3 linked regions of the Cricetulus griseus genome follow. The protein of the gene in region 3 interacts with the protein of the main gene of each other region in a biochemical or structural test. Links are inferred from orthologs where the notes say so. Each region holds a gene or a part of one and is shown on either strand. Other genes may lie near its edges.

Region 1 (2,340 bases), on a different chromosome or scaffold from region 3:
ATTAAGGAACACATTCTCTATTAAAAGTAATATGCTGTCACAACTCCTACTCACACATTTTGCTGAACCAAGTAACACTGAATAAATATGAAATAAATGAACTTTAGTGTATCATATATTAAATTATTAAATGTTTCATAGGTATTTGAAAATCATGAGTTTAATATGGCTCTATTTTTTTTTTTTAATGAAGAATCAGCAGGCTGTGAAACACACCATTTATGTCTGAGCACATGAGGGAAAGATGAGAAACTCAGACTGTGAATGGGATTTGTTCTGAAGGCAAAGAGCCCTTTGTCCATGTCATTATCTTATCTTTTCTCACTTGGGGGAGGGGGATGTTGCCTCCTGTTGTTTCTGATTATTCCCCCTGGCTCAGAGTCTCTCTGCCCTCCTTGCTGGGGATTTTTGGCTACAAGAGTCATTTCTGGGATGGCATGGGGGCAAGGGCTCCCCGTGTTTGCCACAAGCCCACAGCACCTGTATCCTTTGTACCCACAGGAGGATGTATGCACATGAAGTGTCCACAGCCTCAGTGCAGACTGGAGTGGTGCTGGAACTGCGGCTGTGAGTGGAACCGAGCCTGCATGGGTGATCACTGGTTCGACGTGTAGACAGACACTCAGGCACTGCCCCTGACCACACCTCCTTACGGGAAACACGTGGACTCCTGCCTTCTTAGCCATTTCGTCGTCTCTGGGCATATAAGCACATACAATGCACACGCACAAACACAGACTGCAAATTACAGACTCGGCCACTAGATCCTTTCCACAGGCACCCACGGAAGCCAGCAGCACCCACTAGGCACCCAGTGAGAGGCACTTTCGGGCCTCTGGCATATGCAACTATCCAACACTGGGAAGAGAGTGTAGCCCCTTGTTTTGGATTTCTCATCCCAGCAGGAATCCAGCCCTAGGGAGGGCTTTTCCAGGTTTAATTTCCCGACTTCACCTTCACTAAATCCATGTAGAAGCCTTAGGCGAAGCCACAGCTCTCCAAGGCTGTTGCCACGCTCTGTGTAAATTAGACTGCCGTGGAATCTCAAGAGCACACTCGAGATGTGAGGGACAGTGTTCTTACTCAGCAATCACCTATTCCCAGGGGGCCCTCCCCGGCAATAGTCAAAAATATTTGTTTATCCCCAAGAATCCTATCTTTATAAATGGTGCTGATGAGATGACAGCTCGGCGGCATACAAATCAACTTATCAACCAAGTGAGAAACTGGAAAACATAATTTGAATGCAGACTGTTTAAATTACAGTGAGGGCATCAAAGTGGAACCTACTTCCACTCGCTTAATTACCTGCAACTTTAGAAAGAAATTACTCTTTTTTTCCTGAAATTATTGCAAAGTCTGGAATTTGGTTTGAAGTATTCATATTGCAGCCTGGAAGTTTAGCCCATGCATTTGTCTTCACTGTGAACTTAATAGAAAAAGTGCCTATAAAGGGCATGTTTTTAGAAACAATCCCATGATGCTATTCCAACGCTAACAGCAGTGCAGGCCGGGTTTATATTTATGGAATATTTATAGAAGCGGCATTTCTAGATCAGCCACATGAGAACATGCCTGACCCTCCATCAGAAAGGGAGACACCTCTGTGTACTTACCCCCTAAGTCCCAGGGAGTCCCATGCACCCAGTGGTCCTACAGGCAGAACCTTTTGCGAAGGACAATAAACACACTAGAATATTCCTTAGGTAAATACACATCACATTTGAATGTTAAGTTTTCAAGATTTTATTTTTTCCTGTTGTGTTTCGTTTGGTTTGGTTTGTGAGGCACTCATAACACATAAAGCTGTTTCCACTAGGTACTGTGAGATGCAGTTTCTACTGCACCCTGTGCACAGGGGTGAGGCGTGGTCTCTGCCTTTCCCTCTCATTTGATTTTCTGACTTCTCAGGAGGCTGAGCTGGCAGCTGAGGGTCTCACTGGCCCCTGAGGCCCCTTGGGACTTAAGAGGCCTGAACCTTCTGAAATCAATAAGTAGATACAACCAACAGAATCCGATGCTGGTGGGAGAAGAGGCAGTGACCTCAGAATTTTCAGGTCATATCCCAAGAGCACCTGCTCCCCCACCCCAAGCAGCCTCACCCAGAACACTCCCCAGGAGCAGGCTTCCCTCCCCTTCCTCAGAGACACAGTACTGGAACAAGGCAGTAGTGTGAGAGGGGGCCACACAACATGACTTATCACCAACTGCTAGAAAATCCATCCTCTCCTTCATAATCCAGGGCTGCCAGACCCAAGTCCAGAAGCCAAAGATCAGATGGAAACGATGCTATGGTATCTTGTAGTGTGAGGCGAGGAGAGCAGACCTAAGCCCATGCTT
Region 2 (3,665 bases), on a different chromosome or scaffold from region 3:
TCCACACACATAACATTATTTTTACCACTATTTTTTGAGAAAAGGCCTCTCACTGAACCTAGAAGCTCACGGATCCAGCTAGCATGACTGTCTCCACCTCCCCAGTGCTGGTATCAAATGGGCACCGGGGATAGAACTCAGGTCCTCATGCTTGCATGGCAAGCACTTTACTAACTGAGCCATCTCTCCAGTCCTCATCTAGAATCTTTTTTCTACTTACAATGCTGTATTATGTTCCCTGGGGTATATATTTGGCCACCAAAAAGAAAACATTTCCTAATCTCAAAATCAAGTCTGCTTCCTTCCTATCTTCATCTTTTGGTTCAAATTTAGCCTGGTGGGTCTGCATGACACACATTTGTGTTGCTTCCTTTGCTGTGACTCATATATTATTCCCAGGCTGCTACTCAACTTAAATTCCACCTCTGATCTGACAGAATTCCTCTGATTCTGTGTGGCCCACTCCTGTTCCATATCCCTAGCTTTTTGCCTCCTTAACAAAAACATAATCTGGTTGGGCCTTTTAAAAAATCATTATTTTCTTCATTTGTTTTCAACATGTGTGCATAGGTCCTTAGTGAATTGGCTCTAATCACAATTAGTTTATCTCCTTTCCAAAAGCACATTTTCTTACTGATAACCTGACTTTAATCATCTCAAACTGCCAAAGTACACCCTATGTAAATTACCACTTCACTGCTTCTCATTTTAACTACCCCCTTCTAGGGGACAGAGAATCATTATGGCAACTTTTTTTTTTTTTTTTTTTTTTTTTTGGTGGGAGAGATTTCATAGCTATACAGCCCCTAAAAAGGTCTCATGACTCAAAAAAAACTGAAAATCTACAATTACGTGTTTTTCATTCCCTTCCTTCTTAGACAAATCTTTGCTTGTTCCCCTGGATTAGGGAACCTGCCATATGGAGACATTCATCTGAACATACATGTATCAGTTTTTCTACCATTAATATAACTGACTTAATATTCTGTGAAAACTTTAAAATCAACATCTGCATTGTGACATTCCTTTTGCTGTTTACTGTTTCATGACTATGGGTTCTTCACAGTAGGTTTAGAGTTTTTGTTTTAAGTGCTATAGGTACACAAAAATACTGTGGACACAGAGATTGTTCATCGTCTTCAACTTAAAATACCCATGTAGAAACTCAGTTTCAAAGGTGCTTACCTCTGCTTTACGTATATTTTCTCTAGCTTCATCTATTTTCTGTTCCAGCTCTGCTCGACTTTGTTCTGATACAGCAACTCCATGACATTCCAGATCATTCAGAACCTATCAAAGAAAATAAAGATGACTGTTTTTGTGTATTCTTTCCTTAAGTATTTAGGTAATTCCAAAGGGTTCAGGGGCTAAAGTCATGACTCATTTTTAAACTTTTACTTTTTAACTAATTTTTAAAAACTGAAAGTTGTAAAACAGAGGAGTTACTGTCTTAGCTTCCTCTGATAGTAACAACTTATAAAACCATTCAATAACAGCCCTTCTTCTGGAGATGCATTTCAAGATCTCAGTGAGTACCCTAAACCACAGCAGTATGGAACTTTCTATTTACTAGGGTTTCCAATGTGTCCTGCAGTATGAACATAGCACCATAGTTGACCTGCCCTTCTGTGGTTCATAACAAGCTGTTACCTCCTGAGTACTGGACTTGTATGATAAACAATTAACTGAAATTTGGGGTTACTTGAACACTAGCACTGTGATACTGAGGTATGTCATCTGGTAACAGATGGAGATGAAGTACCTCACAGGTGAGTAGAGTTGACAATGTGGATATGCTGGATAAAGTAATCTACAACCCTAGTGGGATAGAGTAGACTTTATTATGCTACAGAATGGTGGGCATTTAAAAACTCCTTAAGTGTTTGTTCATCCATTTCCCATTTAATATTTCTGGACCTAAGGGAACTGAAGCCATGATGGAAAGTAAAAGAGTAAATAAGGGCACAAAATCAAGAAACTGACATATAATCTGTACACCTTAATTTTTAATTTATGCTTTGAATTAAAAAAATGATGGATATGGAATATTTGTGTTGTTAAAATAGGGTCTTATGAAGCTCGGGCTAGTCTCAAATTCACTAGGTGGCTAGCCTGGAGTTCTGATCTTCCAGCTTCTACTTCTCTAGTTCTAGGACTACAAGGTTTGCACAGTCACACCTGCCTGATGAGTCAGTATTCACAATGTAAAACAACACAAAATTTTCATTCTTGCACAATGAATCCATCACATATTCTCTACACTAAGATATTACTACCCCATCAATTGTATTTTTCCAAATCGTTTTTATGAAAATCTTGTTTGTGGGGAGAAAAAATGATATATCATTCCCTCAATGTTTGTACCAAACCTTGTCATGTTTGCAGAGACTCATTTTCCTTAAAGTACATGCCCAACAGCTTAATGATAAATACTTACACTTAGAGCACTGCTATTAAGATTTTCAAATTTCTCAACACTGCAAACAGAACTACACAAGGAACCTGAGTAATGACTCTTTGAGCACACTGGAGTATTTATTTGAGATGAAAACATAAAAGTGGAATTTGTACATGTTGTTTGTTCACTGTTTTGCTGTACTGGTGATCAAATCAACTACCTTGGGCACAGTAAGCAGATGCTCTACTAGTGAACTTTATCTTGCACTTTTGTATTTTAATACTAATAGACATTGGCAAATTTCCCCTAAAAAGTTGTATATGTACAACCCTTCCCTGTATCCTAACCATATCCTAGCCAAACTTTAAATTTATGCTGACACAGAATTTTGAAAAATTTATTTCATTTTTATGACTTTATAGAAAGCACAGTTTCATGTGTGGCTGTCCATCTGTATTTCTATTTTTACTGAGTATGTATGTGTGTATGTAGGTCAGAGGAAGATGTTAGTTTGAGGCCAGCTTGGTCTAAATATAATGCATACCAGAAAAGCCAGATCTACGTCCAGTAGACCCTGTCTCAAACAAAAACAAAAACAAACAAACAAGCAAACAAAAAATCTTATGGGTTTTTCAAGGCAGGCAAGAGTTAAGAGCATAATGCTGATTGTTGAGAACATACAGGGAAAACATACATAGGATTCTTCACATTCAGAAAATTAAACTTGTTGGAGTTGGAGAGATGGCTCAGTGGGTAAGAGCATGGGCTGCTCTTCCAGAGATCCAGGTTCAATTTCCAGCACACACAAGGCAGCTCACAACCGTCTATAACTCTAGTTCCAGTGGATCCAATTCCCAGTGCTCTTTTCTGATCTCCATGGACATCAGGCACACACATAGTGCACAGGCAAACACAAATAAAAATAAAATTCAACTCCTTAAGTCTCTCTGAAATCTGATTTCAGTTGCATACAGTCATGGCGCTTTACCATACTCACCCGCTGATGATGAACAATATTTTTGTGCTCACGTGCCACACGTGTGGCCCATTTCCGAGCCTCCTTATTTAGACTGTGTTCCTCTGTGGTACCAGTTTCTGATTCTAACTGTCGACTCTACAACACAAGAGAGAACAGAGAGAGAAGTACTGTTATCTCCACTGCAACTTCTACCATCTGTCGTTGGACCAGAGGGTCTTTCCTTAATCAGCACTGACAATGTAAGGTATGTCCCACTACTGTGGGAAGCAAGGTCTCATGTCACAGAAA
Region 3 (2,370 bases):
TCTACAAACAGAAACCAAATGGCATTGTGTACTAATAGCTGGGGAGGGTGGGATGTCGAGAATGGAGGAGGAGTATGAGCACAAGCATGCCTTTTCTGTTCAGTGCCCAAGAGGAGCCGTTCAGTCCAGAACTCGTTCTGCACATCCTGCCAAGGCACAAAGTGACAGAGGCCATCTAATCCACAAGCGATGAAAGTGATGGTATGTTTCCAAGGACCAAAGTCACATCAATGCCTTGTTCTCGAACATATGAAGGTGAACACTAGTGGCCTCTGGCAAAGAGTCTGAGGATCCCAGCCTGAACCTCCTCCAGTGATTCTCACATGGCAGGGGATGAGATGGTGAATGGTTCTAAAGCAACAAGGACAGGTGACTCCCCTGTGCCAAGGGATAGAGCAAGAAGAAGGAGAGACCACAGGTGGCCCTTCGAGTCAGATGTGCTCCAAGCTGTGCTCTGGCAGGCTGCTTTGTTACCCTGCCAACTGATACTCACTCTTGGGCCTTCAATGGGTCAGTGAGCATTCAGCAAATTTTAAAACTGAAAAAATTAGCAGCTTGGAGATCTGAACAAATCTGCAATGAAATGAAGGACCCAAAGGCATTTAATTATTGAACACATACAATGAAGTATATTTAAAAAAAATTGGTCAGACTGTCCTGTTAGTTATCATTTTAAAGGAATTTACAGAGCTGTTATAGATTATTCTTTTGGAATAATTCAGTTTATAGCAAATGCCTAAACTGGTTTCTTCATTGCACAGTATATTCTCTTTAAATGGGAGCTTAAAACAATTCCATACAGATTAAAAATCCGCATTTCTTTGCTTAATTAAAACGTTAATACTCTTAGACAACACAGATCTGAAATGGCGAAACCAGCAATACCCCCTCCCACCTTACAACAAATTAAATTGAGACAAAATTACAAACACATTTCACTACGTGATTATTATTAATAAAAATCAGTTTCTTTTTTTTTTCTGTTTTATAAAGTTGCCCGAAATGCAAGGGATGTGCATAGGTTTACAACTTAGTCATAATAGCAATTTATTCTTATTCCCCTGGGTGTGCCCCGTGAACGGAATGTACTTTGCTGTAATTACAGATTGTTTTGTCCAACACAGACACACCGACAGCATAAACGCTCGCGACTGTCCACATGCATTAAGAGTCAAGACCCAACTTCAAATCTCTAAAAGGTTTACAGGGTGCTTCAAAGAGACAGTATCACAGTATCTGGGTGTTACATAAAGGACTTCAAAAAAAGAGAGAGAAAAAAGGCTTTTAAAAATTTATGACTGTTTTGTAATCACTAGACTAATTATTTCAAATAAATAAAGGAAAGAAAGATATTCCAATCCATAAAATCAGACTCTAAAAAGAATGTAGTGTTCCACCCCCAGTCAAGGTAACAGAATCATTGTTTATTATTATTAAAATAGATTATAGAAAGCAGCATCTATTTTGTGCAGTTTTTAGGGGCCTTGGAAATAAAAAGCTATGATTTCCAAAAATATAACATTCCAAAGGATTGAATAATACATACATTTAAAGATACATTTTATTAAAGTTTAGGAGAACTGATTAAAAAAGATACTGTCTCTTTAAATTAGTGTGTAATTGTTTTTCTCCTCCTATCTATTCGGACATGACAATAATTATAAATGTAGGTCACACTACAACTAGGTAGTCTCTAGGGACCACGACCTGCTGACACAAGGCCGATAACAAAGAGGCTTTTCCACATAGGAGGCGGCTCCCAGTTTTATACTCAGATAGCCAGGGAGAAGCCTAATAGACCCAGGAGACTGGGACCCACTGTGGGGCTGTGCACACGAGCTCAACGGCTTCCTCCAGATGTCTGATTGTCTCATCAATTTCATTGTTGATAATTGTGAGATCGAAGTAGTGTGCATATGTTCTCTGTAAGACATCGGACTCCTTCTGCAGGCGCTGGAGAGATTCATCCTGCATAGGGTGGCATGGTAGAGGGGCAGGTACGGGAGAAAGGCAAAGCAAATATAAGAGCAAAGTCAGTTGTAGTCTTTTTCTTTCTACATTTCAGTTCATTCCAGGGTCAGAACAGGTCAAAACTAAACAATGGTGGGGCACGAGGCCAAGATGGCTGTGTGACAGGAGATGATGGTCCCTGTCCTATGATGAGAGGGTTATAGAAGTTGCACTGGCAACAGTGACTGGTTGACATGCAACAGGGGTCACTGTGAAAAATAGACAAAACCAACATTCCAGCAAACACATGGCCCCCACTCAGGCCCACCTGGGCCTATCCCCAGAGCCACCTATCCCCATGGGCTTCCAGTGGCTACAGTTCTTTCATCATTCCTGTAAGCCAGGGTGGAGCAGAGCTAC

The links.
Region 1: the proteins of Cask (region 3) and Prkn form a complex in vitro, tested with the Homo sapiens proteins (2 studies listed by BioGRID and IntAct, with this or other methods). The link is inferred for Cricetulus griseus from reciprocal best matches to the Homo sapiens genes CASK and PRKN.
Region 2: the proteins of Cask (region 3) and Fchsd2 form a complex in vitro, tested with the Homo sapiens proteins (2 studies listed by BioGRID and IntAct, with this or other methods). The link is inferred for Cricetulus griseus from reciprocal best matches to the Homo sapiens genes CASK and FCHSD2.

Annotation. Positions count from the first base shown.
Region 1 is NC_048595.1:288,897,073-288,899,412, reverse strand, and holds the end of Prkn (E3 ubiquitin-protein ligase parkin), read left to right. Parts: intron 1-501; coding exon 502-614; 3' UTR 615-1,818; downstream 1,819-2,340. UniProt on the Homo sapiens protein: Functions within a multiprotein E3 ubiquitin ligase complex, catalyzing the covalent attachment of ubiquitin moieties onto substrate proteins. Substrates include SYT11 and VDAC1.
Region 2 is NC_048596.1:98,265,264-98,268,928, forward strand, and holds part of Fchsd2 (F-BAR and double SH3 domains protein 2), read right to left. Parts: intron 3,513-3,665; coding exon 3,396-3,512; intron 1,291-3,395; coding exon 1,186-1,290; intron 1-1,185. UniProt on the Homo sapiens protein: Adapter protein that plays a role in endocytosis via clathrin-coated pits. Contributes to the internalization of cell surface receptors, such as integrin ITGB1 and transferrin receptor.
Region 3 is NC_048604.1:119,083,048-119,085,417, forward strand, and holds the end of Cask (peripheral plasma membrane protein CASK), read right to left. Parts: intron 1,969-2,370; coding exon 1,792-1,968; 3' UTR 585-1,791; downstream 1-584. UniProt on the Homo sapiens protein: Multidomain scaffolding Mg(2+)-independent protein kinase that catalyzes the phosphotransfer from ATP to proteins such as NRXN1, and plays a role in synaptic transmembrane protein anchoring and ion channel trafficking.